Linked DNA regions of Kluyveromyces lactis. The protein of the gene in region 2 interacts with the protein of the main gene of each other region in a biochemical or structural test. Links are inferred from orthologs where the notes say so. Each region holds a gene or a part of one and is shown on either strand. Other genes may lie near its edges.

Region 1 (3,161 bases), on a different chromosome or scaffold from region 2:
GCTTGGGCAGTTTGGTCTTAATTACTGGAGAGCTCTTCTCGCTTGGACTTTGTGGGCTTTTCAAAGGTATAATAGGGCCACTTGATGGGAAAAATTCGATGTCTACTATGAATTGGACATCTTTTGCAAGTGAATTCAATTCAACAGACTTCCAAACGACATAATATTCTCTTAGTGCTTTAGGTCTCAATTTGTTGATATTAATAAAATCCTGGTCTAGGACGTCCCTCCGTCGACAACCAAGAAGATCATTCTTCAATCGTGGCCTTCGCCTAAATATAATGAACTCCATATTAGTATCCCAGTCTGCAGCTCTAACATTAAGTTCTAAGTTTCCCCTAATGGAATTGAATCGTATTGCATTTTGACCCAGTTTTAACATGAAGTATGTTCCAACTTCAAGCTGTTTTCCGACAGTTATTTTACTGGGCAGAATTATCAATTTACCATCTTGTCGTATCATTAATCCACTGCAGTGAGGTTCCTAATTCGAATAGTATCAAACATAATACAGCAGAGTCTTCTTTCGAGTATTCTTGTGCGATTACTTTAAAGTTCTTTCTTTATATATTCTTTTCTCATCTTAGGACCCTTTGGTTGAATAATCATGCAAAAAGGCTTAGCATTGACAGAATTCAAGGTGCAACGATTGAAACCATTTTAGATTCCAAGGCTTCGAGAAGATAAGAGGAACATCTAATATGAGTAGTGATAGAAAAACTTTTAACTGTCTATCCTATCAATGATTATGTAGTTCTAATAAGTCATTTATAATGGTGGTGGTCTCCTCCTTGTTGGAGAAACCGAGCCTGATCTTGAAGAAGGCGAAGAAAAAGAATTTGGCAAGTTCGGTAGCCTTGGAGTAGTAGGTTGTCTCACAGGAGATTTTAACGGATATTTTTGTCCGGCTGAATGTCTCACTGAAGATTGGCTGGATAGTCTTGAAGGCGTAGTCGGAAGAGGTGGTAATGGCGGTTCAACAAACGATTTTGTAGGAAGGTGATTCATAGGCGATGGCTCGTCAATGTTCGTTGGTATTCTTGAGCTTGAGCTACTCTCGAGACCGCCACCTACCACTTTCTGTAAGACTTCCAAATCCATCGCAGTGTTGGTGATACTCTCTGTAGATGGTACCGAGGAGCCGTTCTTGAAATAATTCAATTTTTCTTTGATCAGCTTTAACTTGTCCATCAGCCCATCAGTAGATTGGCTTTGTTGCGAATGATAGGTATTTGCTGTAGCATTAGACCCCATCGATGAATCAAAATCTATTCTTTCACTTGAAGCGTGTGATGATCTAGAAGTATCGAGGTTTATAGGTAGATCAGGAAGTGGAGATTTTATATGAGAGCCGTGAACGTATTGGCCTGGGGATGCGGAAGCAACGAACCGCTGCTCACTTGCCGATGTCTGCAGTTCATATTGTGCATGTAACTCCGGTGGATCTGACGGTAGTGGTGGTACTGACCTGGACTGTACACTGGAACTTATTTTTGGAACATTGTCGCGTCTGTCTTCGCTAATGTTATTTGGAACAAAAGTCAATTCAATATACACCTTACCAGCTTCCAAAGGACCCCTCTTCAGATGATACCACCTATCATGGCCTTCTTCAGGGTCACTTAGTAATGCAGGCAAAAGATCAACATCGCACTTCCCAATGAGCTTCGAACCATGTTTGTGATCATGGTCATCGTACAGTTCAACGCAGAGTAGAGGCTTGATATCGGGCGTTAGTTGAAAAACACAATGGTAATCAAATTTTGGAGTTTGGCCGCCTCTGTATATCACTGGAGATATCTCCGTAAGATGAGCTACTCTTAACTTGACGAAAGGATCTTGCTTGTCTAACTTTCTTAGATTTGGAAGGTCCTTCGCTTTACTCACATAAACATCTAATCGACCATTTGCTCCGGTTATCACGTTATTGCTCATTACACTTAATGCCTATATCGATTGAAAGGTGTTAACAGTGCTTATTGACCCATAAAGAAGCTCTATTCAAACTGTAAATATGTAGTTTAGCTTGATTCAATCTTATATTTACATAGGTCTATGTTTTTCAACATTTTTCATATTGACAGTTTTACGTGGTAAGAAGCATCAGAGTCTCAGGGAAAGACCGTACAAAATCGAAGATAATTGGTAGCATATATTATGCTATGCTATTTAACTAAGTGTCGAGTTAAGTATTTTTATTCACCTCGAATATCTCGATCCTCCAGATTGTCTTTTTGGACCAGATGGTAATGGCGATTGGTTATTTGTAGAACGATCGTTCAACTTAGGCTTTTTAACGTTTGAGAATCTGCTTGAACTTTGGTAAGATTCATCAGATTGCCTCTTTCGTGGTTCGGAGGGAGTATTAACGAATTTCTTCCCTTGATTGAATGGTCTGCTAGGAAGCTGTGATGTGTTTGAATTGCTGATACTTCTGTTGCTAGACGAATCTTTTCTTGGGCCAGATGGTAATGTGTTTTGGAATCTGCTAGATGAACCTGAGCTTGCAGGACCAGATGGTCTTGAGGAAGTATCCGGAGGCTTAGACGCGTTGGCTGGTGCTCTTGGCAGAGTTGTTGAGGCTATACCATGTTGATAACGAGAAGAAGCTGCCTTTCTTGGTTCACTAGGTATTGGACGGTTACTGGAAGTGTTGGAGTTCCATCTTTCACCACTGTACTTCGATGAAGGTTTAACAGGTACTACTTCATCTTCATACATACTTCCAGGTGTCTTGGTTTGAGGCAAAGGAGCAGATTTGCATCTTTGAATAAAATTTTCAAAGACAGATCTGTAGTGATCAGGTGGATTACTAGTGACTCGGTGGTAATAGTCCTCGAACAATATCTTCAATTTGTTTCTAAATCCAGAGATGTTGCCTGGAGCTTTTATCAATTTTCTAAAATCACTCTGAGTGTTAGAATCGTATATCAAGGGAATGGCTCTGGTGTACTCAGCATCCTTAATGTACTTCTCGATCTTATAAAAGCCATCCATGACTTGCGATGGAGATGGAGAATTGTTGGATATGGACGACATGGATGGTGCGGTAAGTGAAGATGTTGCAGCACCGTTCTCAGCATCCTGTTGTTTTGCCTTTTCCCTTTCCTTTTCTTTCAATTCTGCTTCTTCCTTTCTACTTTGCTCTGCTTTTGCAGCTT
Region 2 (4,496 bases):
TCTATGATTTTCATTCCATCAAAAGATGGCCTATCGCATAACTATTATGAATACTCTTCACCTCAAGAAATAGCTGATGGTTTCAAGGTGTTGTTACAAGCTATTATCAATTATGATAACTATAGAGCAACTCGCGGCCATTAATTGAAATAAAGCTAACTTTGATTTTATAGTAAAGGTCCAAAACAATTGTAAGTTATCAATTTATATTTATTTGTTGTGTAAACTTACTAAAAACTTTTATCTGTTTACTATGTTTTGATTGTCTATTTATCTTCCATAAGATATGCTACTGTGTGGATTCATTTCTCTCCAACAGAGAGAATGTTTCCAACACTTGGTAAGTTTAATGAACCGCTATCTTCGGCCTTGTGCTTCCAGCTGATCAGTAAACGTAAATATTTCATCAACAAAAAGATTATTGATCCTGTAGCTCTGAAAGCCGCTAATGCTGCAACGGACCATAAAATGAATTTCAAGTAAATATTATTGACCGTTTCCTCAGGTTCATAGATCTGTGTAATGATCATCATCAAAATCAAATTAGATAACATCCAAACCATAACTATCCTGGTTCTGATATCCCGGTAATAGTCATTTTGCTTCTGCGTTAAGTCGACCTTTTCTTCAACCATCTCCTTCTCTTTTAACCTAGATTTCAGTTCTTGGTATTTATTATCAATATCTTGAGGCCATTGATCAGTGACAATTGTGATACCATCAGGACCTTGAATAACCTCTGCACTAGGAATTGGTTTAGCTGCTTCCGTGGAACCCTTGGTACCCCAAGAAACATCATGGGTATTACAGAATGCGAAAATTTGTAACGTACAAATGAAACTTGGTAACATTAACAGATATTGCACCGAAGAGGTGAAAATGTGCCATGGATCTAAGTACAACAAGGAAGTGAAAGCGTATAAACCATAAGTTGATAGTAAAGAGACAACAATGTTCACAAATACCGAATGTTCCTCTGTTCCATCGTCTAATGTTTTGATGGCAAAAACTAACCCACAAACCAAAGCATAAGTCGAACAAATTGTCAACATGACCATTGAAGAAATGAAAAGATGATTTGCACCTTGTGGTCTGTTACCCATAGAAATAATGAACAAAGCACAGAGGTTACAAATCAGAAGGTATTTGAAAAATGTGAAGAGTACATCCCCATGGGGAATAATAGAATTCATGGACCCTGCCAAGTAATAGAAAGTCAGGAAGAAGTTAGAAATAGAGAACCACGAGAAAATCATTTGAACTAGTTGATATAAGAATTCGATGTGGAAAAAGAATTTTCTAGTTGTCGAATGTCTTGTTTTCCAAATCTGATGGAAATGTATTTGCGCGTATAATGCTGAAAACATAGCACCATTCAACCAACGTCTTCTTTGAGAAATAAATTCTGGAGGTTCTTCTGGAACATCTGTCTCACCAGTTGCTTCTTTCACATATTTAAGAACCCATGCTTCATCCCTTTTAGCAACTAATTCCCAACATAGAATTCTATCTTCTGCCAAATACATATTGGCTGTGAAAACATCGTGATCTCTACCTTCTTGTGTTTCACCTAGGAAATATGAATGCAGTGGACCTGTACCATCATCATTGTTTTTTAATGCTCTGTAACGGTATGCTGAGAGCGCACCAGGAAGCACAGTGATATAACCGAAAACACTTTCTAATGGCTTATCAAGTATATTGGACATCTTATACTCGAAATTTTGGGCAGCAACTAGAGGATTTAATAATTTCATATCAAATTTTCCCTTCATGGTCTTAATCTGGCCAGCAGCACCGGCGACATTGGAATCCATATCGAACACCTTCCACAAGTGATAAACGGCGGTACTATTCAATTTCGTGCCTACATCCACTAATGTAACAACAGTTGGATCCAAGATGGGACAGAAAGCATTGAACAACCAACGATGAGAGTTGATTTTCTTCTGATTTTCTTCTTTCAAACAGAAAACCATTTGGCAAGGTACCGTGCCTTCACTTCTATAGTTTAATTCCTCATCAATAGACACCTGTGTAGTAAGCTCGAAAATATGCGCTTTCACTGGTTCACCATTAACGGTCGATTTAGCCATATCCTCTTGATATACACCGATAGCTGCCAAGTAGTCCAAGGAACCTTGGTTTATTCTAGATCTACCATCGCTGATAATGATAATTTGAACAGTTTTCCAGCCGGTTGGTCCCCAGACGTTAGATTTGTGACGTTTGCACAGATGGGCGACGTTCTTTTGAATGGAGTGTAACGTCCTAGCTAAAGCGAATTTGTCTTCGTTATACATTGTGACACAAATTGTAATTTGACATTCTCTATTCATTTCTGCCATTCTCAAATTATAACCGTCCTCAACAAACGTGTCAGGATCACTGGTACAAGCCGTATATCTCATTTCGGTAAATTCCGGAGAATCTCTTTTTGGAATAATATCTCTCAATCCACTTGGGATTGGGTTGTCGAGCTTCAAGATTCTTCTTTGCTTAAAAGCTGGAGGATGTCTTCTCACCTCAGATAATCCACGCTTCTTGTAAGTTTGTGTCTTTGGATGATTCAATTCAAATTTCGTCTCGCCGAAAGTATCACCTGAGTAAACCGTACTTTCTCCGCTGATTTTTCTGCTATCATACGTGTATTCTGTCTCATTTGAGGTTAGTCTTTGGAATAAAGGACCTGGTTTAGTAGGACTGTTGGTGTATATGTCATACAAACTCTCACCATCATTGCTTTCAACGTCAATGAGTGCATGATTCATTCTTCTTGGAGATTCTTGCAAATTGGCTTGGTACCTGTTTCGTGGCAGTGGGGAATTGTGCACACTATCGATAAGGGTATTATTCATTTTCTGAGGTGAGTATCTGGCAGCAGCTTTTGAAGGTGATGATGGATTACTATCAACTGCTGGAAAACCTTGAAAACGACTGGCATCATCATCGTATGAAACAGCACTGTAACTATACTGACTAGCTCTCATAGCAGCCCGTTGTGGAGAACGTATCACTGGAGGCTCTTCATCCTCTGCCATGAATGGATTCCTTGTCATATTGGAAAGGCAAAGGGCAACTTCTAGAGAGTGTATCTGCCGAATAAGGCTAAGATAAGGGATTGGATAATGTGATTAACTGGGTGTGTTCACAACAATAAAAATATTGACAGCTTCTGAGAACTTGTAAGAGAAAGAAGTATTAACTGCTCATTAAAATATTATTTTCTAAGCTCAAGAAATACGGTATTTCTATTCGAGGAAGATTCTATTCTTGGGTTGAAACGATGCATAAGGACTGTATTGATTTCAATGTTTTTACAATTCCTAATTGGGAAGATATGTAAACAAAAGGGCAATGAGGTAAGATCTCCAGCTTAGTATACTAGAATATAGTCCCAAACACATCATGGCGTTGCAATAGCGGTAACTGTCATTGGGAATCTACAAACCGCTGTTGTGTATGTACAGGTAATTCTAACAAAACGAATCTATCAAGGTGATACCCAAAGTGCGGATAATTCATAATATATAGGTCTATAAATATAACAATTCAACAAAATAGGACACTATAGTCTAGTGGTTTAGGATACTCCCCTTCCATTAATAGCGTAACTACCAGAAATGGTAAGTGCCAGGCGAGGGAGTGACACGGGTTCGAATCCCGTTAGTGTCATATTTTTTAAGTTTTTTTTTTACCTTTTTCCCTCTTCCTTTATCAAGAACAGGAACAACCAAAAAAAGTTGTCACATGATTTCCGTATATAGCGACAGCTGAAATTTTTTTCGTCATTTTTTCGAGCGCCTGTTCCTCATCTAATTGAAGAAAAAGTTGAAGATGAAGTTTTCCTGCTACAGTCAAGTTTCAAAAGAGCCTTTCATCAAGAGAAATAGAAGGGAGGTTTGAATTTTAGTCGATCGTCTGAAACTAATTTTAATTGCACTATTATCTTATCTGGAAGTTTTAAGACATTCTACTTCATCTGTTTGTCAATTTCTCTTAGTGTATCTCAAACAAACCAGGTAAAAAGAATTAATTAGTATAACACTAGTAACATGCCACCAAAGAAGCAAGTAGAGGAAAAGAAGGTTCTATTAGGCCGTCCAGGTAATAACTTGAAGGCAGGTATCGTTGGTTTAGCTAACGTTGGTAAATCTACTTTTTTCCAAGCCATTACTAGATGTCCATTGGGTAACCCAGCTAACTACCCATTCGCAACCATTGATCCAGAAGAAGCTAGAGTCATTGTTCCATCTCCAAGATTCGATACTCTAAGTGAAATTTACAAGCCAGCTTCCAAAGTTCCAGCTCATTTGACTGTTTACGATATTGCTGGTTTGACTAAGGGTGCTTCTGCTGGTGAAGGTCTAGGTAATGCCTTTTTGTCCCATATCAGATCTGTCGATTCCATCTACCAAGTGGTCCGTTGTTTCGATGATGCTGAAATTATTCATATTGAAGGTGATGTTGATCCAGTTCGTGATTTGGATATCATC

What was found.
Region 1: the proteins of CHS2 (region 2) and INN1 form a complex in vitro, tested with the Saccharomyces cerevisiae proteins (2 studies listed by BioGRID). The link is inferred for Kluyveromyces lactis from reciprocal best matches to the Saccharomyces cerevisiae genes CHS2 and INN1.

The regions. Positions count from the first base shown.
Region 1 is NC_006037.1:996,689-999,849, forward strand, and holds INN1 (Inn1p), read right to left. Parts: upstream 1,936-3,161; coding exon 769-1,935; downstream 1-768. Other genes in the region: KLLA0_A11550g (uncharacterized protein), read right to left, coding at 1-463; THO2 (Tho2p), read right to left, coding at 2,200-3,161. UniProt on the Saccharomyces cerevisiae protein: Required for the ingression of the plasma membrane into the bud neck at the end of cytokinesis, leading to the separation of the mother and daughter cells. Stimulates the synthesis of the primary septum (PS) by CHS2.
Region 2 is NC_006040.1:307,135-311,630, forward strand, and holds CHS2 (chitin synthase CHS2), read right to left. Parts: upstream 3,060-4,496; coding exon 303-3,059; downstream 1-302. Other genes in the region: KLLA0_D03520g (M20 family metallo-hydrolase), read left to right, coding at 1-144; OLA1 (Obg-like ATPase), read left to right, coding at 4,056-4,496.